Nothobranchius furzeri: one gene and its partners. The protein of the gene in region 1 purifies or fractionates together with the protein of each later gene. This does not show direct contact. Links are inferred from orthologs where the notes say so. Each region holds a gene or a part of one and is shown on either strand. Other genes may lie near its edges.

Region 1 (4,172 bases):
ATATATATATATATATATATATATATATATATATATATATATATATATATATATATATATATTGAATGCATTTTATTTCCTTGTCTACTTAAATATTCTTACCAGCTGATATGTTTTATTCCTCCCTCCCGTTGCTGTTTCAACTCCATAAATCTGCAAATGGCCTTTTTCAGGTCCAGGACTGAAGCGTTTTGGACTACAACTATGGCTTCATTTAAATATAATAAATAAAAAAAAGTAAGTGTGATGAGAATAGTAGATGTCAGGCTATAATTTTCAATCATCTAATAACAAAAAATAGAAAGTTGATAAAAAAGAAATAATAAAACAATGAAAAAGCAACACTTACGCATGATTTCACCATCTGCTTTCACGACCTTCACAGTCATCGCCTGGCCGTACTCCAAAGCTATCTGAGAATTTACTTCTTCCAGTGTGACCTGATGGTACAGAAAAAAAAAACATTAAAATTGACGCCACCGATTACCATTTCTCTGCACACATCAGACCATCATCATCTAGAAAAGCTCACAACCCTGAGAGGACTTGCTGTTAGATTATGAAGATTTATTGCTGGTCTTAAATTTGGAAATACTTTGACAAGTTGAGCAAAATACAGTGAAATATTTTGAATATACTTTATTGACCTAACAAAATGCACAAGGTAGACGTGAGCTAATACTTCTACTGCTGTCCTCTTGTGTAACCAATATTAGGACAGAGTACAAATCACACAGCTTTAACATACAAGCAAGAAGAGACATCAGCAAGGACTTTGGGGAGATAATTTTGTCTTTGCTCTAATAAAAACTGTAATATGCAGTGATCTGCTGTTTTTACTCCATTGGAAGCTTGCAAATTGATTCATAAACACTTTGTAGTGCAAATGGGATCCATTTGAGTTTTAATAGGTATCTAAATAGACTGTTTGGAAATTGCAGGTGAGGTGTGTGTCCAAACTTTTGACTAAAGTAACAAAAGCTGCACAATGTATCACAAAACATCATCACTGTGACTGCTTCAGTGGCACACAAAAACAGCTTGATTCACAGTAGATGGGGACATGTTCATGTGACTGAATCTCCTTAATGCTATTGCTGAAAACACACCAGTGGTGAGTGATGTGTGGTAACAGAGTGAGGAAAATGAGGATTTAGCACAACTGTTATCGTCATCGCAATACCCAACGATATTGTAACAGTGTGATTTACTAAATCCTACAAAAGTATAATCCTGGCCCAAATATCTTCTACAATCGTCATTGGACTTTAAAAATAAAATAGACCAGCTCCAATGAGTGAATCTCAAATAAAGGTGACAACACACGTTTTCCTTCAGAGTAACTGAGGGCACTCAGAAATAACACCTGGATTGGCAGGTCGCAGAGTAAAGGGTCCTGCACAAGTCGAGCAAGTCCTTCTTCAAAAATATCCAGGATCTCAGAGTGAGGGAGAGAATCTTCATCGTCCTCCTCCTCAGCAGCTGCCTCGTTTAGGAAGCTCTCCTTTTTCACCTCCTCATCCTGCACTAGTTGCGCTCCTTCACCTCCTTTGACTACAGCAGAACCTGGACTCTGCTCCTCCTCCATCCGATAATCATCCAGCTATTGGGTACCTTCCGGGTTTCCTGCTAGAAAACGTCGTCTGGATACAATTTACCTGGACAACAATTACAGGTTTACTTCAAAACTGCTGCTAAAAAAGAAGAATTAGAACAGCAAAAGCCCGTATGTAACTGTGTGCAGTACAAACAAACTACCGGAACGGAAATGGACCTTATGTAAAAGGTTCCACTTGATGAAAATAAAAATGAACAGCTGCGTTAACATTTGATAAATACGTATTCTTATCATAAATTAATAACATTCATTTTAATATAGAATTGTTTACATACAATTAGGCATGTTGTTTAAACGATTAGCGACTTCCGGTTGTTTCCGTTCGAGCTGTTTTCATCAGTCGACTTCCGGTTTTCTCTACGCAGCAGATGGTTTCTGGTGAAATCACATTTAGATTCCATTTAGTTGATGGTTTGCGACCAAATTGATTACATTTAAAATGCTACTCTTTTGCCCTACCTGTGGAAACGTTTTGATCGTAGAAGAAGGACAGAAGTGTATGAGGTTCGCGTGTAACACCTGTCCTTACATACACAACATCACAAGAAAGGTAGGAGTCACCCGTAACTAAACCAGGTTTCATCATCTAGTTGGTGTCAGAAACACAAAATATTTGTCGTTAGGTTTGTAAGTTTAAGGTCTTGTTTTATTTCTCTTGAAGGTAAACAACCGAAAGTATCCCAAATTAAAGGAGGTGGATGATGTTCTCGGTGGGGCTGCTGCGTGGGAGAACGTGGATTCAACTGCAGGTAAATAACATTAAAATGACTTCCTGGAGTCTGCATACAAATGTTTAGCATATTCTTTAGTTTTAGTTAAGTAATTAAAGTGTTTTAACGCCTAAAATGAGAAAAGTGTACTTCCAATTTTCAATTATACAAACGGATTAATCCAGGATTTTCAGTTTTTCTTTTTGTTCAAGCCAAACCATTCAACAATCCTGATATCCTGTATCTTTATTTAGGTCATAGTAGAATTGGCTAGATGCTTAATAAACTATTATTTATCTCCTTAAAACAATTCATGATCCTTAAACAGGATTAGTGATTTCTTAAGATTAACATTCTTAAACTAAAACCTGGACATACCAGAGGTATTTGGGGTATAAGATGGTACATACCGGTGTGGCCTCTAAGCTGACATATTCCTTCTCTATCTCTGTACAGAAAAATGTCCCAAGTGTGAGCATCCTCGGGCGTATTTCATGCAGATTCAGACCAGATCTGCTGATGAACCCATGACAACTTTCTACAAATGCTGTAATGCCCAGTGTGGACATCGATGGAGAGACTGAAAGTTTTCTACTTGTAGTTATTTCAAATGTTCAGATGATTTCTGGCCTGGTTTTCCTTTTCTTCTGTATTTATTTGCACCATTTACTTTCCAGTTGTGATAAATGTTCCACATGACAAAGTGTTTACTTCATGATTTTTATTGGTAAAATAGCGCCTGTGTACAGTCACATAAATTGCGTACATAGTTGTACATCAGACATCTGGAGCGATGCAGACCAGCAGTTTTCACAACATGACTAAAGTTCCATTACAATCCTTCACAAAATGTGTTTTTTTGTTTTATATTTTGCACAGATTTTTCAGTCTTGAGGAAAAAAATATGCACAGAGTCGGAGCACATCAATGATTATTACTAAAGGTATAGCCCAGGCAAACTGCGAGAAGCATTAGTGGCTGATGTATCCCACATGCTGAGATGATTCACTGTTAGTGTTCAGAATCACTTTTGCAAAAGGTCTAATTCAACAACTTCATGAAGCTCATTAAAATCTCACTAATCAAATGTATTTCATTTCATCTAAGCGAAGAACCTTCATTTAGGTGAATCCTTAATGGCTTAGTACTCAGTTTTTAAAACCTCTTAAGATCAGCTAAATCTGAAATGGTGCTGCATGAGCCTGACAGAAAAACACACACCAAGATGTCATGCTTTCGTTTTTAAGTGATTAGCTTGTCTATCGCCTTCAGTACACTTGTGGACCATTCCCATCTGTACCGGGTCGGCCCGGGCCGGGTAGCGTAGGTTGTTTACATATCTGGGTGGCCTGGTATTTTTCCGGGCCAACCAAGGCTCATTCTCAGCCCTCTTCTCGAGGGGGTCTGCTTCAGGCCGACCAGGGCCAACACACCCACTGCTGACAGCAACTTCACACCTTCCATTAGAGCAAGCCTCTGATTGGTGGGTAGAATCAGCCCACATGGGCTTAAGGCAAGGATGTGTGGAATCAACCGGGCCAGGCTGGGGCCGACTGGGGCTACCCGACCCGGCACAGATGGGAATGGCCCAAAAGTCTGAATATGGCTCATAACTCGGTCGACTACAGAAACTAGTAACACCTGGATAAAACTTTGCTTTTATTCAGGGTAAAATCGTGTTTTAATGAAAACAAAATGTGTGTTTAAACTTATAAAGTGCAAATATTAACTTTATTCTCAAAACTACAGACGGGGACAAAGGTAACAGCTAAACAGTGAATCAGAACATGTTGATTGGAGTAATGAATACAAGTAACTAAAGCATAAAACATAAATGTATTTGT
Region 2 (5,201 bases), on another chromosome or scaffold:
ATTGTAACTCAGGCCCTGTCCACACGTAGCCGGGGATATGCCAAAACGTAGATATTTTCCTACGTTTTGGCCTGTCATCCACACGAAAACTGAGTTTTTTAAAAACTCCGGCCAAAGTGAAGATCTGCGTTTTCTCCGTTTTGGGTGTCTGCGTGTGGACGGACAAAACCGGAGTTTTAAGGTCCGCAACGTCACTTTCCGCGACAAAAAAAAAAATGCTGACATCACGTGTGCGACCTGTGTTTACACTAGCCGACAGCATGGAAGCCTTCAGAGCTGCGCTCTGTCACTACCCGATCCATCAATTGTCCAAGCGCTTTTTGCTTGTTTGTTTTTGCAAGCGGAATTACTGCTCCTTGCGGAAGACCACAGACGAAGGACGAGGTTAAGAACGGGGGAAGTACTGCCGCCTACAGGTCTGGCATGTCCTTAACAACGTATTTATCCGGGTACGTGTGGACAGAGTTTGTTTTTAAAACGCGGTGGTGTGGATGCAAGTTTTTGGAGGGGCGGATATTCGTTTTTAAAAAACCCGGCTACGTGTGGACTAGGCCTAAGATTTTTGTCTCTAGACCAAAGCTAAGTGTTTCATGAGCCACAGTGGGACCCTGACCCAGACTTTTGGAACCACTGAGTATACAAAGAGGAGGGGTAAAATTAACTCATCTGTACCTGCGTCATAAACACCAGATTGGTAACCTGACCTGAGATTAGCCTGTAAAACATGTTGATGTAACCAGTGGCTTTTTTTTTTTTACTGAAATACCTGAGTCTGGGTGAAGATCTGGGCTTTCTGACACTCCTCCAGACTCGGGGCGAAGCTAGCCATGACGTTCTCCTCGGTGCCGATCATCTGAACGATCTCCTGGTCACTTTCTACACCCATACCCTGTGTGGGTCACAGACATGATGCAGAAGACAAGGGACTAATGTGAAAGGGGTGAACTAAATCATTTCAATATATAACCACGTTGAGACTATATGAGCTGAAACATTAGGAGGTGGAGTGTTGGTGGGGGTCAGAGAGGTTAGCTCGGAGTCATGGGGGTGCATGACATTTGCTTATGGAAATGTGAAGCTGTGGGAACTGATTCGTGTGCTCCACGGAGGAGATGAGGTCGCAGAAGGAGGTGGGGAAGGAGCAGTCCAGGATGTACGAGCTCTCAGCAAACAGAACCGAGGGTTCAGACACTCACAAGGTAATGTGTTAGAAAAGCTTTTCTCCAGAGGTGATGGGAGATCACAGCACCAGCTGTTCCACTGACATTTTCACTCCGGCTGATGAACAGAGTTCATCAAAACCTCCCACAGCATGAGTTTATCAATTATGATTTTACACAGATCAGAGCTGCAGAGAAAATCTTCTCTTTAGTTGTGTTGCAGCGCCACCTACTGGACGTACTTAAACTGGTTTTACCTTGAATATAATAGCGATGGGAGCGTCTTCAGACAGCGTGTTGTGTCTCAGGTAGAACCGACCCTGCTTCACAATCATGTTGGTTCTGCTTTTCTTCTCGTGAGTGGAGCTGAAACAAAACAACAAGTTAAACTGTCTAACTCCTTCATTTGGGAGGAAGCTGTAACTTTATTCCTACCTGGTAACCGAGGCGCCGACTGCACCCTTCCTGTCCTGTTCCACAATGATCCGATTCTTGGACAGCTGCTCCTGGATCAGGATGACTTTCTCCTGGCCTTTTACAATAAAATAACCTCCTGAAAATCAAAAGAACACAACTCTGTCAAACAGAGGACCAGAATAAAACATTAAGAATTAGAGTTAGATCCTTTTTAACAACAGTGTACCTGGGTCCAGAGGACATTCGTTGAGTTTAGAAAACTCCATGGGAGTCTTTCCTGTGAGAACACAGTTCGAGCTTCGCAGCATGATCGGCATCCTGACACGAGTAGAAAGAATCCTCTTAACAATAACATCTTGACGAGTTTTGAAAGCTGAAATGCAGAATTTGAGAGATAAATTAGAATGAGTCAAAAATCAGAAACCTTCCAATAGGCAGAGCGTTTCGGATGATCCTTTGACTGCCGCGAGTGTATTCTATGTCCACTGTGATGGGCGCCGAGTAGGTCATGTCCCTGAGGCGACACTGTGGAAACAGAATTTCTCCTTTAAGCAAAATAATCAACAAATATTCCCATAAATCCACTGATGGATTTAATTTACAAACCTGTCAGACTGAAACATGATCTCATCTGATCAGACTCACCTCATGAGGAGAAACCGGTCGGGTTACGTTAAAGCTTTCCTCAACATCGGGCATCCCAACGTAGATATTGAGGTAGCTGCACAGGAACCACTTCTCAGATTAACTCCAATTCAAGATAAAGGGCGTGTCAGTAATATAACGATTGAATAACTTACTTCAAGTACCACAGTGGATCAGCATCACTTGTGATCTTCTCATTTGCTTTCATAATTTTCTTGATCTGAAACACAAGATGCTTTTAGTGAAGTGAAATCTTAAACAGAGGAGTAAAAGCCCGGTTGGTGGGTTTCAGCTTTACCTCAACGTTAATGAAATAGTTAAACGAGTCAATGTGCTGCTTCACCAAACCTTTCACCTGCAACGCACACAGAGATGAAAGAGAAAAAAAGAGAGGAGCATGGATGTATCTCATGGTTAAACTCTTAGGTCACTGAGGGCTAAAGGGATTAACTTTAATTATTTAAACCTGACTTTTCATAAATTAATGAATCTGATTAGATCAAATTAACTAACAAAAGTCGGAAATTAAATTAAAAATACAACAGAAGTCTTCAAATTGTAGAATTAATAAAAATCTGGATTATAAATGGAAATTTCTGCTTAAATATTTGTCTAGATTTTCCTCGGGGGGGGGGGGGGGGGGGGATAATTCTACTTATTGTGTTACCTTCAGAAAGGCTGGTAACAACTTCCATTTTTCCTGTCAGGAAGAGAAACAAACCAGTTAATTAATTAAATTATTCCGTTTCTGGAGCACTTTATGCCGAGGTTGGCCAAACTCTGGATTTAATGCTACAATGTTCCAGCTGTGACATAATTCCAGACTCATTTAACAACTAAGAAGCTTCGTTGCACCACACCATCAGTTAAATCTGTTGAATTAGCTTACTGCACTGCACTCGTGGTGTAAAAACCTTTTTGTCCGATTTTCCCCGAACTTACCGCCACAGTGTTGACAGGAGCCGCCAACTCCTGAGGAGTCATTTCTCCAAACTCTCCTCCCAGCAGCTCCATAGTCACCGTTGCTGTTCTACTCTAAACATTTAAAAATATAAATAACGTTAGTGTTGACACAACACGCAGGAAGTGTCGGCTGCATGCGTCCCAGCTATGTGTTTCAATTTCAAGCGTACGTAGAAACGTTGGGCGGAACTACATAGTTCCGTCTGGAACGACTTCTTCGGAGGTCGCGGGATCTCAACAGTTTAATAAACGTATGCCACCTAGTGGTGCAAAACGTTACTGAAACAAAAAAAGACAAGAAATTCACTTTTTGATTGTTTTACTTAGTTGTTTTATTTAGTACGAGAAACAAACAAAAAGTAACTTAATGTACTGGAAAAACACGTTGACTTTTTCAAGCATAAATAGAAAATTAATTAGAATTAATGCTTTTGGTTTTGACTAAAGCAGAGGAAAAAACTAAGGAATCTGATTGAATCAATTGATCCTCTAACGCTATGCTGATAAAAGCAACACAAACTATTCTATTAAAAGCATCTTCTACATTTTTGAATAAAGTTTAGAACAGTCATGATGGATGTTCAGTTTGCTGCCTCCATACAGACACCACCTGTCATTTCAGGTGTGGACAGGGTCAGCGAGCGTGCCCCCTGACATGTCTGCTGTTGCTGCTGAGCAGTTTGGGGTATGCCGTCCCCAGACAACGTCCCTGCCTGACGACCACCAGCTCCAGCTGACACTGGTCGATGTTGACCAGCACTGTGGTGCTCCTCTCTGTGTTCATCAGGAAGATGATGGTGAAGATGGCCATCTCAAACTCAGGGCTGGTCCCAATGAAGGCACTGCCGACGGGCTTCAGCACACCGTGCCAGCTGAACTGGAGGTTCAAAACGTGGTCATCCTGGTCAGGCTGCAGGTGGAAGCAGACATGAGATGGTGCCGACAGAGATGCGTCTCCTCCATGTGGTGAACTTACCAAGTCGTGCTCTCTGGCCTTGTATCCCTTGTAATCCAATTGGCTGTTTTTCTCCTGCAGGTAGAACTGAACCCAGTTGTGAAAGCCAATTATTTCTGTTCCGGATCTGGTTTCACCAACAAAAACGTGTTCAAACCCACAAGAGTCTGGGCTGTCACACAAACAAAATGGTTACTTATTATCGTCACAAACAAAGTGATAAAAGACTCTGACGCATTGATGTTCAGACTCCCACCCCGTGTTCCTCTGTCGGTGGTAAAGATGAAACCAGATCAAGCTCAGCTGACTCTTGAACAGCCTCAAGTCAGACCTGGACTTTCCTTTGCTCACCAGATACTGATGGGCACGCTGAGAAGAAATCACATAGATTACTCAGAAAGTTTCTCCAGTTTGAGCAAATGAACAGTTAATGTTGCAAATGATAAATAAAAGCTGCAGCTTATACCTTTCCTTTGAGGCAGTGTTTTGAAACGTTAATTGAATCAAAACGTGATGTAAAACAATTTTGTTCCCTGACTATAGAGTAAGAAACACTTTATGGGTTTAACTGGACCAGAAAAGTATTTCCTCCTAAAACAAGTACTGAAAGTTCACATTTTTCCAGTGATCCTCTTTGGGGAGCCCACTGAGGCCAACACAACATTCCACAGCTGCACACAGATGTTTCAGCTGCCTGTTTTGTTATTTTTTTCCCTTTCTTCAAACATCACGATGAGTCGAGTTTCTGCAGTGTTCAGCTGCAGCTTCAAACCACAAAATGCATGAAACGATGAGAGGTTAAAGACATCTAAGTAACAAAATCTGCAACAAGTCACCTTCATAACTTGAGTTTCTAAAACAGCATCCAGGAAGAGACTGATCTCTGTCTGCTCCTCTGTTGTGACTCGCTCCGTGATGCCTGTAGACCGCTCATAGTTGTCCAGGAGTTTCATTAAGCCTAAAAGCATAAATGTACATTTTTAACACTAAATCGTTTTAACAATCTACCAGTCACAATGAAACTCACGAGAAAAGGTGGTCATGTTTCCCAGTTTTGCTTC
Region 3 (4,846 bases), on another chromosome or scaffold:
ACGAATGACAGAATTTTGTCTACACACAAATGACAAACTAAGGTTTTAGCACGTGCAGAAATGCAATAACCAACAGAAATGGCATCATAATTTAGGCCACAGATTTTAAAACTCAAGTTTATCTTACGTTCGACCCGATCTCTTCATCCATGTTTTTAAATTTATTTAGAAGAGGCCTGCAAGGTGTGTTTCAATTGTCTGTTTTTCTCCAGGCAGACGTGCAGGGGTGACAACAAAAACAGACACTGATTTGATTAAATCTAGCATTTTCTCCTCCTCCCGGTGTCGTCGTCCCAGATTGCCTTGCATAAACTGCAGTGTCATATTCCGGTTAAGTCAACATCGTTATTAAAATCATCGCACCCCTCTTTCACCTCCCTCCCCAGCTGTCTGACTTCATCCCATCCTGCAGAAGCGGAGGCGCGAGAGGACAGGACAGAAGAGGCGACAGCATCAACCCCGCTCGCTGACACAGCTCATGCAGGAGATGGATGTCTCCAGATGTGATGGATGTTTTACCTTCTTCCGGCGGCTCCTCCGCGCCGTCCACTCGGGCCCCAAAGCGGGGAGCAATTATCAGCTGCGGGGCGTCGATCACGCATTCGCCGCAACCGACGGAGAGCTCCGCAAGCCCGCAAGAAAACGCCCCCGTACCGTTGGCGCCGCTGATCCCGCCCACCGCTGCCAATCAAAAGGTGATGGGAGGAGTCTACGGAGCTGAGTTTAGAGGTGGCTTACACCGACCGCCTGTTCAAAAACAGGATCAGAACAAAAATTAGAATAGAATAGAATAGAATAGAATAGAATAGAATAGAATAGAATAGAATAGAATAGAAAAAAACAGAACAAATATATACTTAATTATCTGCCTCAAAAGTATTCTTACAGTGCTGGGTGAAGTGTATTACCCACAAGTCATTGCTGCAGGAGAAAGGGTTCAAGTTCCTTTTCTGAATATTTTCTAATGGAATGAGTTAGTTTTGGGACAATCAGTTGATGCTCTGAATGTTTTAGACAAAGCAGCAATTAATTAAAATTTATTTCAAATAATGGGTTGTTTGTTTAAAAGTTGTTAATAAAGGCTTTTGAAAAAGTATCACAGGACCAGCATCTCGGCATGCGTTGCGTTTCATGACGCAATGCTCCCTGTCTCACTTCAGCAATTATTTGCACAGTTGTAGTCCACGCACTCGAAGCCTTACTGCACACTTTCTCCAAGTGCACTTTGCTGAAGACTGCAGGGCGCAATGCGAGTATTGGCACTGGGCCTGCTTGTGATGTCACAATTGGGGACAATTTCAAATAGCTTGTTTTAGGCACAACATTTCTACAACCACACATTGGCATGTTTGGAGCGTTTATAGAGGCAGAGTGCACATGGCGGCACAAAAAGGATGCAAAAGGCATAATATGTCTTCTTTAAGAAGATTACTTCTAAATAAAAATGTTTGTTATTGTCCTTTAATGTATCACAATCTAGATTACTAAAATATCTTGCTTGATGATATTCTGTAACTATCACTTTACTTTTGATTAAGCCATTGTATGTATTTAAATTATTTTTACAATTTACCAAAGAATTAAGTTGGCTTAGTTCCCAATGGAAAATGTTTAATCAAATAAAAAATGTACAAGTTTAAATGTCACATTTTACGTTTCGATTTGAGTATAAATCCTTTTTTTTAACAAAGTGTGTTTATATATTTGTTTGATTCTATGTTTGTTTTAAAGTTATTTGTGGCCAAATGTTGCTAAAACAATCAGCTGTAAATGTTTTTCCAGGGGTGCCCCATAACTTATTGAACTTTTAAAAATATCAATTATTTTAATTAAAAAAGATCAATACATAATACACAAACATATCTACTTGTAAATAAAAAATGTAGTTTGGTTTCATAACTTATTTTCAACATGATTTTGCAACTGAACAGGCATTGCTCCGGGCAGCTAAAAACAGGGTCCGCGATTGAAGGACCTCTCGGCGAAGTGAACAAGAAATGCCTCGTAAATTAACGTAAATTTATAGGTTTTATTAGGTTTTTATTTATTTGTAAGAGTTTTTGTGTGATTAAGACGCAATGGCGGAAGAAAATGAGCTAGAAAAGTGAGTAAATGTATCTTTATTAACTTCCGTCTGAACACATTTGCAGACATTTTCCCTCTAAAATGTAACGCTGCGGAAAAACAGTCTGTTAGTAGTTCTGATCTGAGTTGTTTACTGTATTTAAAGTTGACTTGTTGACTCTAGCTGCCTGTTGTGTGTAGTTTCAGGTCGGCATAAGTAGCGAGTCCAATCTGGTGATGAGACTCATTTCGGGTCAAACAAGGACACGTCCGCTTTACTTTCATCTTATATTTCTTGTACATCTGCTCAGAATTTCTGTCCTGTTTGTCTCATGACTCATTCTCCTGGTTCTGGGTCCGGTTCCGTCTAGGCGCGCCGTGGAGGAGCTCCTGAGGGAGACTGACAGAGCCCGGGTGAGAGCAGAGACCATGGGTCCTGCAGGATGGTGAGCTCTGAAATATCTCTGACCCTCTCATGTGGATTGGCTTTCTTTCTTTTCTTTTTTCTTTTTGGATAATTACTTAGTGTCTAGTATTATTTTAAATATTAGATTATTTTGCTCATGTTCTCATTAAACCATCTGAACACACCACGTGTCTTCCTAAAAATGTTAGTTTTGCACTAAAAGTTATCTTATCTGTTGGTATTTTAATTTGAGGTCTTATATCATATATATACATTAAAGGTTTTTTTGGGGCATTTCAATCGTATGTGTGAAAATTTCTTATTTAGCCTCTTTATTCTATAGTTAAAGGGATAAAACACCCACAAAAGTCATGTTGCTGAAGTCTGATTGAATCTGTGAAATTAAATTTCTTCTTTCGGCATCAACTGCTGGATTTTTCTGGATCTGTGTCTGATGTTTGTGGATTTTTCTCCAGGTTGAAGTGTCCTCTACAGAGCACCAACAAACGCTTCTTACTCAACACCCTGCGCTCCACGGGCCTGCACCGGCGCACAGAGGAACCCCAAGCCAAATGTTCCTCCACAAGAGGACGCCTTCGGAGCGAGTCCCCGGACAGACAGCGTGACCGCAGCAGAACGCCTCCGCCTGATCACAGGAATACTGGCGGCCCCTCGGATCATAAACGTCCTCACATGGACCGCCGCACAAGTCGAGATAAGAGGCCGGACAGAGATAAGGACAGACGCAGCAGACACCAAGACGACAGAGACCGGAAACATGCCGATGGACAGAAAAGAGACAAAAAAAGACGGATTCAGACTTCATGAATGGACCGGCTTTGTTTTTAGTCTCAGGAGCTCATAACCGACTGAGAGGTGCTGCTGTTTGCTTTGTGTTTAAAAGAGAAAAACTTTATTTAAAATATCATTTTACAGAGAAATAGAGTGAGTTTTGTCTCTTTGGACGTACTGGTAGATTATTTTCTTTTTTCCCAATAAAATGCAACAGAATGAGGTCAAACAGTCTCTCTCGTGACTCATGATGAGGTGTAACCGTGTTCGTCACAGGAGGGGGACCTAATCTCTATTATAACGCCATTACTATTCATCACGTGTCATGATGTTTACATAGGCCACGCTGCTGTCGCCACAGAGTAAGCATGTTTTATCATTTTTTGACATGCCGTCAAAAACTGGTTTGTTACTCAATGAAAAAGCTAAAAAACATTTCATTTATTTTGTTTCAGGAACAATCTGTTGATTTTGTGTGATTGTCCTCACTTTGAGATGGCAGATGGCCATTAAATCTTTCCATTTTTTCTGACTCCACTGTCTTTTATTATTTCTACAACTTTACAGGGACGAAAGTGTCTGATTCTGATTGCCTCCCTTCTTAACGGGCAACACGCCTCATAAATCACATATGGAACAGCCTGGGTTAACAATTTCCTTCCTCTTTACAACAATGATCAAATATAAAGGCCATTAGGCCATATTGCAGGGGGGTGTTTTGCATAGAAATGGCTCACCTGGACTTTATTGCACCGTTGAGTGCTGCCATTAAGATTCATTGGAAAGTGCTATAATTGCTTTTGAAGATCTGAGTGCAAATAGTCTATCGAAGCTGCGCAGACTATCAAAATAAAAGCCGGCTCGTCCCGCGTGACAAACATGCGTCTGAAAGTCGTGCGTAAAAGGCCGTGGAGACGCGCGCTCCAAACGCGCACGGCGGTTAATTGAGTTCAGTTGGTCTCTTCATGATAATTGACTAACCAAGAGGGCTATTGTTAAATGGGGCGAGGACACACAAAGATTAATGGCCAGCAAACACGAGGAGAGTGCAGCAGAGTTGTGTTTGTCGTCGCCAAGGTTTTTTTTATCGTCTGAGGCAGCGCGCGCAAAAATGGTGTTAAATGATGCATTTAGAAAAGTGTAATGGACAGATTTAAACGTCAGAAAGAGCTGGACTAAAATAAAAGGCTGTGGAAACTAAGGTGTGTTTCCAAGACAACGGGTGCCTTATCTCGCAGGTCAACCCAATGTTTGCACCCATAGTATCGATTTACAAGACTCATATTCGCATAAAATGTCGATTGCTTCCATGTCTGTGGACGAGAGTCCTGCGTGAAGAAAGTATCCAAATTTTTGTTGTTCCACTCGGAGTTGGTGTATGTGAACGTTTTGGCACCGATTTTACGCACTGCTCTGTTCAACTCAGGGGGAAAAGCTGCAGAATATCATGGAAACTGGGCGCTGTCATTCCGAGCAAACACTGGAGCCAATGAATTGGGCGCCTTGGGGTCACATGATGTCTGAGTGACACACCTGTGTGGAGCAGGGGCCTTGCAGTTGCGCCACAGGTGGAGCCGAAGGTCC
Region 4 (5,256 bases), on another chromosome or scaffold:
GTAGCGTTCATATGAAGCAGAAGCTGAACTTTTGGAGTAAAACAGGAGTTGAGATTATTTCAACACTAATTTGCTGATAAGTTCTAATTCGTAATGTTTGATAACGTGAAGCATAAATCTGGAAATATGAAATAAATCAGAATAAAATACTTTTAGGACATTAAAGATTCCTAAAAGTCCTGGGAGCTGGACTTCAACCATCTCATCTCACACAAACCTCTGAACTCGCTCGTTTGGCAAACGGATATTTTTAATCCACCAGCTGGATTCCAGGAGAAGCCCTCCAAACTCCCAGAGCCAGGAGCCCCCCAGGCATAGCCCCCCCAATCGTTCGCTCACAGCTGACAGGGAAACAGGCTAAATCCAGTCTAGACCAGTTAGGCTCTTCCATCAGACAGATCCCTCCTGAGCAGGTTTCAGAGAAGCTGATTTATTATGAAGTTCTGACTAGCCTGGTGCGTGGAGCTGGGGTGTCATTACAGTGTCCTCAGATGAAAAAGCTTGACTTTGATCATTTTTCATATACTGGCCCACCTCTGTTTATTACACTTAAACACACTAAATCATTGGCCCAGTTTTAATATTTACATGAGTAGTCTTAAACTCAAACTTCAAACCATTAAAAGGTTCCCAAACCCTCAAGCATTTCATCTATAAGTGTTACTGTAGCCTAACCTGGTGAGCCAGGCCCATGGGGGACCAGCTGAGGCTCCTGTGGAGCGAGGCTATACCCACAAGCTGGGCTCAGTCTCCTCCACCGGATGTGTACCGGGAAAGTTTGGCTCCAAAAGAAAAGTTATCGCTTCCAAATCAGAACTTATGCTCTTTAAATCAAGAACATTTAAACTGTCACAAGTATAAAAAGTACTTATTTGAGTGTTGCTGCGTTTGAATGAGGAAAATGTGGAAAATTGAAAGTCTGAAAACTGTTTCTGGAATATTTGGGTCCATTTTCAAACCTGGTCAGTTCATTACACCCGTGACCACCGTGCGTGTAATGTTGCTTTTAAGTCCTGTCCATCATGAAACTTGGTTTAAAGGCGTTAATGCTGAGTCCACTCTTATTTTATGTGACAATAACAGATGTTTCTGGAAGGGATTCAGCTGAAGTTTCAGGAACGATGGACTTTTTTCTATTGGTCCAAGGAAAATGATTTGTAATTTGTTTGTTTTGCACAGTAACTTGTACATTTTGACTATAATACACAAAGGTGTGGACTCGAGTCACATGACTTGGACTCGAGTCAGACTTGAGTCATTATTTGAATGACTTCTGACTTGACTTGATAAAATCTATAAAGACTTATGACTTGACTGGACTTGAACACCAGTGACTTGTGACTTGAATCGGCTTGCATCTGTTGACTTGATGATGACTTGAGAATGTTTGATATTTTGTCACAGAAGTGGCACGACATGGACAAAAATCATAAATCATTCTTGGTTCTGGGTTTGATTTACTGCTGAATGCAGCAGCGCTTTGTTTATAACCAGTCTCAGTTTCTGCTTGTTTGAGCAAAAAAAAAGAAGCTTTAAGAAGGTTTTTTTCTGGAATTAATTTATTATCATCGTCATTAAATAGAAGTTGGACAGATGGCTTGATTATCACTTGAAAATTCAAAGTTAAGGACTTGACTTGGACTTGGTTGTCTTTGACTTGGATTTGACTTTAGACTTGAATGGAAAGACTTGTGACTTACTTATGACTTGCAAAGCAGTGACTTGGTCACACCTGCTATACATGAAGAATTTGAGCCCACTTGGACATGCTTTTGAAAATGTTTTTCCTATTTATTTAGTTTATGATGAGAATATTTACAAAAATACAGAAAAACATTTGTATGTGGAGTATGTACAGTCTATGGTCACACCTCTGAAAATACATTTGTGAAAAGCTTCGCGGCGGATGCGGAGGTGACCTCTCTCCAGCAGGGGGCGGTAGTCCACCGTTAGCCCAGAAGAAGAAGACTCAAAGATGGACGACGCTTCTCTGCGTGTTTTGGAGCGCTTGACTGAAGTGGAAGAGGCGGCTGAGGATGTTCTCACCGCCAAACAACAGGTAAACACATCCAGACCCACCGTGGCCAGGCTGGTTCTGTGAGACCCGTAGCGGGTTACAGCTGCTAGCTTCATGCTAACAAGTGTGAGTGGAAGTGACGTACGCGGTGAGACCCGTAGCGGGTTACAGCTGCTAGCTTCATGCTAACAAGTGTGAGTGGATGTGACGTACGCGGTTTTCAGACGCAGTTCTGTGCGTTAGCAGCTTTATGCATGAGGATTTTAGCGGTTGGAGCCAAGAGAGCTAAGTTCTGGTGTTGGTTCAACACTTCATTTACCCGTCACCACACCGATGTTGTCTAGAGTCAAATGTCCTTCTGTAGCTGGTCCAGTCAGGTGGTGCGTTCATGATATCTGAAGAAAACTGTTGTTCTAAAACCACACACACACGCACGGATATCCCAGTTAATAATGTCCTCCCTTAAAACAAACGTGTGTGTGTGTTTCAGATTGTTGACCTGGACATGAAGAGAAACTTCAACAGAGAGGCGCTGAACGCACTGAAACATGAGATGTCGGATAAAGGTTTGTGATCCATCAGCACTCAGGCCACCAGAACACCACAGAGGAACCCTTGTAGCTACAACAACCAAACGTTCCCATAAAGCTGGAACATCCGTCTGTTATTATTGCCTAAAGGAACACGTGTAATCTGTAAATAATCTCAGGCTAATTATGAAACTCGTGGTTGTTTATTGGTGACCCTGGTGATGAAGGAGTAATGGCCGCCTCTGCTGCCGTCCACAGAAAAAGTCAAGGTTTGCTTTGGAAACATGTTCATCAAGTTCTCCAAGTCTAAAACGACGCAGATGATCCGGAAAGGTGATCCTTTATCGTTTACAAGTTAGATCTTCCGTTTTTAACACGAGTCGAATTTAGTCTGAGCCGTTTCTCCAACCTGCAGACCAAGAGCAGCTGGACAAGGAAATAAACCACCTTCGCAAAGAGCTGAGAACTAAAGTCGGTCGTCTCAACGAGATCGAAGGTATGTGTGTTGTGACACATCAGCGGTTCCATCCACCACACTAATGATTCAAGCACCGGTACTACAGACCCTTGTTCACCTCATAGATCCTCACGAAACAGCAGTCTCCGGATCAGAATGGACCTGGAACCATTTCTTCATTTAACATTTATTTTATGGGCACTAAATGAAAGCTAAAGCTTTTTAAAGAGTTTATTATTCTGGTTATTATAATAATAATGATAATAAATGTGACCATTAATTTGGTTGCAGTCTCTCGGACACTTCCTAAACGTTTAGTGTGCTCATTTAGAAAATATTTATCGTTTGTTAGAAAAGCAACACTGGAAACTAATCCTCCAGCTTCATATTGTTTTAATGAGAGGTCCATTTTCATAGCAGGACATTGTTGTTCGTGAACTGCATCCTAGTGAGCACACTTCTCTTCATTATGAGGCACAAACAGTAAGAAACTCTGACTGCAAAGAAAATAATCAGGAACTCGATGAAAAAGCACCGACACTGGGATCCTGGTGTTGGAGGTCTAGACTCGTCAGACCAGGCAACGTTTTCCGGTCCCTTCTGGTGATGCTGTGGGGATTTGAGGCCCAGGTTCCTGTTGTTGGCTGACAGCTGGTGTGGTCTTCTGCTGCTGGAGTCCATCTGGTGCTGGGTTAGGGTTGAGTGTCTGTTTCAGAACTAAAGGTTCTAGTTCAGTGAGCTGTCGGCCCAAAGCACCAGCTGTCTCCCAACAGGTGTTGTGAATCCTTCCGTGTGATAAGTTGTTGGATCTGAGTGGAGAAAGAGTTAGTAGTGATGACCCGTTTTATCACAAAACGCCGCTCTGACACATTTTTCACGCGTTCTTTGGCTTACCGTAACAGTTTTTGTCTTCTGAAACATTCAGGCGGCTTCTGAAAGAGAAGCGTCACAATAATAAATTATTTTCAGTTCCTGCAAGAAGTGGACGGCTCAGCCTCTCCGTCTCACACTCAGACAACGACAGACGACCACAGCTGTAAATAGAAATGACCGTGGTCGGGCCACGAAAAGGACAAAACCCTGGAAAAACGACCAAGTTCCCCGTGTGGTCAGCTCAGTCACTGGGCTCCTGCAGCCCACACACCCAACCCCCCAACTGGGCTCGCCCCGGACCTGTACAATAGTAGACACAACAGATCCCGGGTCAGTCAGGAACGCTGGAAAGGAGATCAGATTTGAGGATCACATGATCACGGTTTTATTTATTTCAGACTTTCACTCCACAGGGGCGTGTGCTGAGCCCCACCTGCACGAACCACTCGTGTGGCTGTTCTGCTAGCACCTGCACCTGAAGCTTATCAGTGATGTTGGTGTTGTTGGTTTGATCTCACACGACGAGCAGCTGGCGTGAGTGATGGCGGTGCCGGAGCTGATGGGTGTTTGGAAAACATTTATTTGTTGTTTGAGTTGATCCTTTGAAGCACCTCATGTTTGTCTGTAGAGTATTTGTTGTTTGTGATATTTTTTCTTTGTTGTTTGCTTGCTTTCAGGAAATCCTGAGCTGAGAGGTTATAATCTGTCTCCTCTATCCTCTGATGAGATGAAAGCTATCACCAGCCTTCTGAAGAGATGAGCAGCTAACTGCTGAGGACGAAAACGCCGACGTGTTAAACCCAGTTTCTGTACAGCTCTGCTCAATAAATCCAGGACAGTAACTGATGTTGTTGAAGCTGAACAAAAATGTTATAGAAATTAGGATTACCGTATTGATTTGTGCTTTAAAACCCTCCAACAAGCCCTCCCTCAAGACGCTTCACAAGCACAAGAAATTAAAAATTCATCCATCTATTTTTGGCCGCTTATCCGGAGTCGGGTCGCGGGGGCAGCAGCTTAAGCAGGGAGGTCCAGACTTCCCGCTCCCCAGCCACTTCCGCCAGCTCCTCCGGGGAATCCCAAGGCGTTCCCTGGCCAGGTGAGAGACATAGTCCCTCCACCGTGTCCTGGGTTTTCCTTAAGGTCTCCTCCCGGTTGGACGTGCCCGGAGGAGCTGATTCTGATCCCAGCTGCTTCACACTCGGCTGCGAACCGCTCCAGTGAAAGCTGGAGATCACGTTCTGATGAAGCCAACAGGACCACATCATCTGCAAAAAGCAGAGACCTGATCCTCAGGCCACCAAAACGGATGCCCTCCACACCTTGGCTGCGCCTAGAAATCCTGTCCATGAAGGTTATGAACAGAATCGGTGACAAAG
Region 5 (5,394 bases), on another chromosome or scaffold:
TCTGTCCTAGAAACAACATTATGGAAAAATAATAATAAAACTAGTCCAGTATTCCATCTGGCAGCTGCTCCAGACCCGAGTATTAGTGATTGTTTCACCATGACTTTGAAACAATCTGTGTGTGTATGTTGGGGGGGGGATTTTTTAGTTCAGAAAGCCAGTTTTTTCATGAGGAGGTAGACTCTGGAGTCTACTTCAAAACCATGAAGATTGTTGGCATCGCCCTGCAGCCTCATGAGGAGGCCTCCATAAGAAACATAAGCAGATCTGAAACATCAAGCAAATCGGTGGAAGCAGATTAACAATACATGTCCGATCTTAAATTCATGATCATTAAAAAAATTATAATTGTTCCTTAACTTCAACACTTAGATCATTTTATTTTATTTGTTGTAAAAATTGTGCAGCAATAAGAAATTTACTCACAGGCGAGTTGCAGCTTCTGTTGAAGTCTCATCTCCTTCAATTTTGTAGACTTTTCCATACATCACATACTCGAACTGGTCCGCTCTATGAATGAAAATGTAAACAGAGAGCCCAAACCTCAAACATCAAAAGATCACACACACTACGAGATGATGGAAGAGTGCAAAAAATGTCTCACCGAGATGGTCGATCATCCTGAGGATTGTACTCTCCATCATCCGGTGTTCCATCTTCATACAAAGTACTGGCAATCACCAGTCTAAACTTGTCACCTTTATAATATGTTATAAGTCAGATTTTTATTGTATTAAGAATTAACTAAATAAGAGTGCCCTCGGTAAAAGGGCTTACGCTCTCACCAAGATCCACAGGATAGATCTGAATGTTCACGTCCAAGATGAGGTCCATCTTAAAAGATTCACTCTCACAGTGCAGACGAGACACTGCAATAGGTGAGAATTTGTCAGTAGATTATAAACATTGTCTGCTGTAGGTTATACAGGTGCTGGCCAGTAAATTAGAATATCATCAAAAGGTTGAAAATATTTCAGTAATTCCATTCAAAACGTGAAACTTGTACATTATATTCATGCAATGCACACAGACCAATGTATTTCCGATGTTTATTACGTTTAATTTTGATATTTATAGGTGACAACCAATGAAAACATCAAATCTGGTATCTCAGAAAATTAGAATATTCTAAAGGCCAATGAAAAAATGTTTGTTTCTCTAATGTTGGCCAACTGAAAAGAATGAACATGAAAAGAATGTGCATGTATAGCACTCAATACTTAGTTGGGGCTCCTTTTGCCTCAATAACTGCAGTAATGCGGCGTGGCATGGACTCGATCAGTCTGTGGCACTGCTCAGGTGTTATGAGAGCCCAGGTTGCTCTGATAGTCGTCTTCAGCTCCTCTGCATTGTTGGGTCTAGCGTATTGCATCCTCCGCTTCACAATACCCCATAGATTTTCTATGGGGTTAAGGTCAGGCGAGTTTGCTGGCCAATCAAGGACAGGGATACCATGGTCCTTGAACCAGGTGCTGGTGGTTTTGGCACTGTGTGCAGGTGCCAAGTCCTGTTGAAAGGTGAAGTCTGCATCCCCATAAAGTTGGTCAGCAGCAGGAAGCATGAAGTGCTCTAAAACTTCCTGGTAGACGGCTGCATTGACCCTGGACCTCAGGAAACAGAGTGGGCCAACACCGGCAGATGACATGGCACCCCACACCATCACTGACGGTGGAAACTTTACACTGGACCTCATGCAACGTGGATTCTGTGCTTCTCCGCTCTTCCTCCAGACTCTGGGTCCTTGATTTCCAAAGGAAATGCAGAACTTGCTTTCATCAGAAAACATAACTTTGGACCACTCAGCATCAGTCCAGTCCTTTTTGTCCTTGGCCCAGGCGAGACGCTTCTTGCGCTGTTTCTTGTTCAAGAGTGGCTTGACACACGGAATGCGACACCTGAATCCCATGTCTTTCATGAGTCTCCTCGTGGTGGTTCTTGAAGCGCTGACTCCAGCTGCAGTCCACTCTTTGTGGATCTCCCCCACATTTTTGAATGGGTTTGTCGTCACAATTCTCTGCAGGGTGCGGTTATCCCTAGAGCTTGTACACTTTTTTCTACCACATTTTATCCGTCCCTTCGCCTGTCTGTTAATGTGCTTGGACACAGAGCTCTGCGAACAGCCAGCTTCTTTAGCAATCACCTTTTGTGTCTTGCCCTCCTTGTGCAAGGTGTCAATGATTGTCTTTTGGACAGCTGTTAAGTCAGAAGTCTTCCCCATGATTGTGGTGCCTTCAAAACAAGACTGAGGGACCTTTTAAAGGCCTTTGCAGGTGTTTTGAGTAAATCAGCTGATTAGAGTGGCAGCAGGTGTCTTCTATATTCAGCCTTTTCAGAATATTCTAATTTTTTGAGATACCAAATTTGGAGTTTTCATTAGTTGTCACTTATGAATATCTAATTTAAATGTAATGAACATTGGAAATACATTGGTCTGTGTGCATTGCATGAATATAATGTACAAGTTTCACGTTTTGAATGGAATTACTGAAATATTTTCAACCTTTTGATGATATTCTAATTTACTGGCCAGCACCTGTATAAACTAAATCCAATAAGCAAGTTGGTTTTTTAACTGCTCTCTTAATGAGCTGAATGTCTTTCAATTTTATATTAGCTTTTAACTTCAGGATGCCAGATTTTCTTTAACATCACTATGTAAAGTCTGCCTTAACGTGGGCAAATAAAAACGTAGAATAAATGATTACTCATGAGTCAATATACCTGTGCATTATGTCAATACGACAAAAACAATATGATGGAATAATTAAATAAGTCACCCCAATACGTTATTGTACTTCATAAGTACCTCTGTCAAACTTCTTGCCATCTGGATCAATGTCTTTCACATCAAAGATATCTTCAAACAAAATTCCAGCCATCGTTGGCCCACTCTGTGAATTTGTGCAGGGGATCAAATGTTTAAGCCCCTGTTATGACTTGAACAACCTGTCAACAAAAAATAAAACGTAATAAACTATAGTAACTTTTAAAAAGCAATGAAACGTTAGGTAGCACAAGAAATCAACTGCTATAAGCATATTACCATAAAATACTTTTATATAAAAATAAGACTAGGACATACGTCAGTTAAAGTTGGCAAGTTTTATCTTCCACGTTGAATCTCCTATTTTGGCTAACAGCTAGCTTTAGCATACTGTTAATTCATTTGTTGCACTTACCCCAAATTATTTTTAGATGTCGTAATGCAAACACAGAAGCCTCGCAACTACTCGATTCTTTAGGACAACAGCGACTGTTCAAAACATAAGCTAGATTTGTTATTTAAGAGTAATTTAATTCATTGCTATCTAGCCAATCTGTGGCGCGCAGAAACAACGTGATTAACCTTTGACACGGGAAGTACTTCTCATAAAACAAAATAAAATGAAAAAATAAATGTTTATGTTAAAAAGCAAAGTAAAACATAAGAAATTGTAAAAATATAATACTCGTACTAAAATAATAGTTTTACCATTAAAATTGCATAATGTATCCTAAAAAAGGTCAACAATTACGTTTGTCTGTGCGTTGTTATAATTTACAATCGTTTACTTTTGTTTTTCTAAATCGCATGCCTCATAACTTAAGGTTATTCAATATATTTTCTTGTAAAATATAATACATTTAGTTAGTTTTAGTTTACGACACTCACATTTACTTTCCGGTGACCCTCTGGTTGCTAGGTATTTTTAGCGTCCCTCCTGTTTGTGGTTGCCAGCTATTTTTTCGTTCACTGTCCGACAAAGCGAGCAAAAATGTACTTTATGGATCTCGTTTACTTGTTAACGCATCACAAACTTGTTTGTACGTCAATTCTCCCAAATCAAATTACGTGCGAATAAGGTAGGAGCCATGTTAATGTCCTGTCGTGTGTCAACTAATTAGATAGCTTGTAGCTTCATAAGTTGTTGCTAATCTTGATGTTAAACCATTTAAGATGGTATAAAACCCCACATGCCTGCCGAAGTTACACTAGCATTCCGTTGTGCGTTTTGGTGTTTGGTTATTTTTACTACTGCTCATAGAATTAAGTTTTTACTTATGTATTTTGCTCTTTTGTTCTTGCACCTTTTAGCTTGAACCCTAGATCTATAAACGTTTTTGAATGAAAGCAGAAATCGTTCCCGTCTAAAGGGGTATTAAATGTTTTCGGTACACACATGAGTTCCAGTGAGGAAGCCAAGATGGGGGACGTCTTGGCAACAGAAGCTGATCTTCTTGGGATGATCAAAGAGGTAGAGAAGATATCTGGGTCACAGCAATATTGATGTTCGCTGAAAATGAATGAAATGCACCAAAACTCAGTGTCATCCTTCACTGTTTAAGTTGAATCATGTTTGTTTGTTTGTTGCAGTACCTCACGTTTGAGGAGTTTGAGGAGACTGTTCAGGTTTTTGACAAGGAATGCAAAAGGAAAGGCAAGCTGGTCTCAAAACCGAGAGGAAATGCTCTAAGAGACTCTAAGACTCGTGTCATTCAGGTAAACAATGCTCTTCTTCAACATGGAAATCTGCTATGTTGGTGTGTTTTCTGTCATAGTGGGGAGACGTTTATGTAGTTCCAGTAATCCTACAAAAGGACGTACACAGCCTAACAAGTATGCAAATGCCAAGATGGTCCAGCTGATTTTGAATATTTACCTGAATATTTTCTCTGAGTTCTTGTTTTGTGCGATTTTCTCCTTCTGAATGTGACGTTTCTAGAAGGACCTTCTTAGCTCATTTGATGACGGAGACCACAAGGTGTTTTTTGAGCTGTGGACAGAGAATATTCCCTCTGAGGTCAAACACACAGACACTGAAGCACAAAGCCTTGAGTTCTACCTCCATATCCACTTTTCCATCTATCCACTGAGAAGACACCCTAATAGACGAGTAAGTATTGGTTTTATTACCAAGAGGAAATCCAAAATACAACCAAATGTGTTGTTTTCAAAGTGTCCACCAAGCTGCGCCACATGCTTTCTCAAAAGTAGTACCCTTGAACAACACTAAATAACAGTAGTTGTCTAACTTACACTATGATGCATAATCCCTTATGTGAACATCATCTTTAGTTAAAATAATTAAGCCACCCTTTAGGAAGGAAAAAAGTCATGTGGCAAAGATGCTTCCTGATTTATTTTGAGCATGTTTGTAGACAGGAAATTTGTCTGACTGATAGTTTAAACATTTAATTTCAAATCGCTTTCCAGGACCAAGCTGAGTTTGAGGAGAGGATTTCCCTCTTTAAGCAGTACCTTGAAACTCGGGGTGCAGCTTTGAGTCAGACCACTGAGTTCTTGCCTTACTACGCTTTGCCTTTTGTTCCCAACCCCACCGTTCACCCGTCCTTCAAAGATCTTTTTCAGGTACTCAGAAATGATTCTTTCTGTATTTTTCGCCCATCAGCGAC

What was found. Proteins that work in one complex are often made in the same cells at the same time.
Region 2: the proteins of polr3k (region 1) and polr3b purify together in Homo sapiens (affinity purification with mass spectrometry; 6 studies listed by BioGRID and IntAct, with this or other methods). This does not show direct contact. The link is inferred for Nothobranchius furzeri from reciprocal best matches to the Homo sapiens genes POLR3K and POLR3B.
Region 3: the proteins of polr3k (region 1) and si:ch211-140b10.6 purify together in Homo sapiens (affinity purification with mass spectrometry; 3 studies listed by BioGRID and IntAct, with this or other methods). This does not show direct contact. The link is inferred for Nothobranchius furzeri from reciprocal best matches to the Homo sapiens genes POLR3K and POLR1D.
Region 4: the proteins of polr3k (region 1) and pdrg1 purify together in Homo sapiens (affinity purification with mass spectrometry; 3 studies listed by BioGRID and IntAct, with this or other methods). This does not show direct contact. The link is inferred for Nothobranchius furzeri from reciprocal best matches to the Homo sapiens genes POLR3K and PDRG1.
Region 5: the proteins of polr3k (region 1) and polr2h purify together in Homo sapiens (affinity purification with mass spectrometry; 3 studies listed by BioGRID and IntAct, with this or other methods). This does not show direct contact. The link is inferred for Nothobranchius furzeri from reciprocal best matches to the Homo sapiens genes POLR3K and POLR2H.

The regions. Positions count from the first base shown.
Region 1 is NC_091745.1:3,876,197-3,880,368, reverse strand, and holds polr3k (DNA-directed RNA polymerase III subunit RPC10), read left to right. Parts: upstream 1-1,914; 5' UTR 1,915-2,057; coding exon 2,058-2,168; intron 2,169-2,279; coding exon 2,280-2,367; intron 2,368-2,784; coding exon 2,785-2,912; 3' UTR 2,913-3,182; downstream 3,183-4,172. Other genes in the region: snrnp25 (U11/U12 small nuclear ribonucleoprotein 25 kDa protein), read right to left, coding at 103-208, 350-440, 1,367-1,588. UniProt on the Homo sapiens protein: Core component of RNA polymerase III (Pol III) which synthesizes small non-coding RNAs using the four ribonucleoside triphosphates as substrates. Can mediate Pol I proofreading of the nascent RNA transcript.
Region 2 is NC_091744.1:73,558,865-73,564,065, forward strand, and holds the start of polr3b (DNA-directed RNA polymerase III subunit RPC2), read right to left. Parts: upstream 3,353-5,201; 5' UTR 3,237-3,352; coding exon 3,165-3,236; intron 2,923-3,164; coding exon 2,890-2,922; intron 2,578-2,889; coding exon 2,521-2,577; intron 2,443-2,520; coding exon 2,378-2,442; intron 2,299-2,377; coding exon 2,223-2,298; intron 2,103-2,222; coding exon 2,002-2,102; intron 1,896-2,001; coding exon 1,804-1,895; intron 1,714-1,803; coding exon 1,596-1,713; intron 1,527-1,595; coding exon 1,418-1,526; intron 890-1,417; coding exon 767-889; intron 1-766. Other genes in the region: endouc (uridylate-specific endoribonuclease C), read right to left, coding at 3,820-4,095, 4,162-4,312, 4,397-4,509, 4,977-5,098, 5,168-5,201. UniProt on the Homo sapiens protein: Catalytic core component of RNA polymerase III (Pol III), a DNA-dependent RNA polymerase which synthesizes small non-coding RNAs using the four ribonucleoside triphosphates as substrates.
Region 3 is NC_091747.1:51,105,577-51,110,422, forward strand, and holds si:ch211-140b10.6 (protein POLR1D), read left to right. Parts: upstream 1-1,933; 5' UTR 1,934-2,078; coding exon 2,079-2,104; intron 2,105-2,435; coding exon 2,436-2,510; intron 2,511-2,946; coding exon 2,947-3,298; 3' UTR 3,299-3,794; downstream 3,795-4,846.
Region 4 is NC_091743.1:5,380,814-5,386,069, forward strand, and holds pdrg1 (p53 and DNA damage-regulated protein 1), read left to right. Parts: upstream 1-1,904; 5' UTR 1,905-1,975; coding exon 1,976-2,059; intron 2,060-2,198; exon of another isoform or gene 2,199-2,367; coding exon of another isoform or gene 2,368-2,397; intron 2,398-2,507; coding exon 2,508-2,583; intron 2,584-2,805; coding exon 2,806-2,880; intron 2,881-2,962; coding exon 2,963-3,043; intron 3,044-4,554; coding exon 4,555-4,637; 3' UTR 4,638-4,719; downstream 4,720-5,256. UniProt on the Homo sapiens protein: May play a role in chaperone-mediated protein folding.
Region 5 is NC_091748.1:62,882,431-62,887,824, forward strand, and holds the start of polr2h (DNA-directed RNA polymerases I, II, and III subunit RPABC3), read right to left. Parts: upstream 3,353-5,394; 5' UTR 3,180-3,352; intron 2,947-3,179; exon of another isoform or gene 2,892-2,946; 5' UTR 2,880-2,891; coding exon 2,807-2,879; intron 870-2,806; coding exon 786-869; intron 699-785; coding exon 605-698; intron 511-604; coding exon 427-510; intron 268-426; coding exon 150-267; 3' UTR 1-149. Other genes in the region: lisH domain-containing protein ARMC9, read left to right, coding at 4,161-4,235, 4,355-4,480, 4,704-4,874, 5,195-5,350. UniProt on the Homo sapiens protein: DNA-dependent RNA polymerase catalyzes the transcription of DNA into RNA using the four ribonucleoside triphosphates as substrates.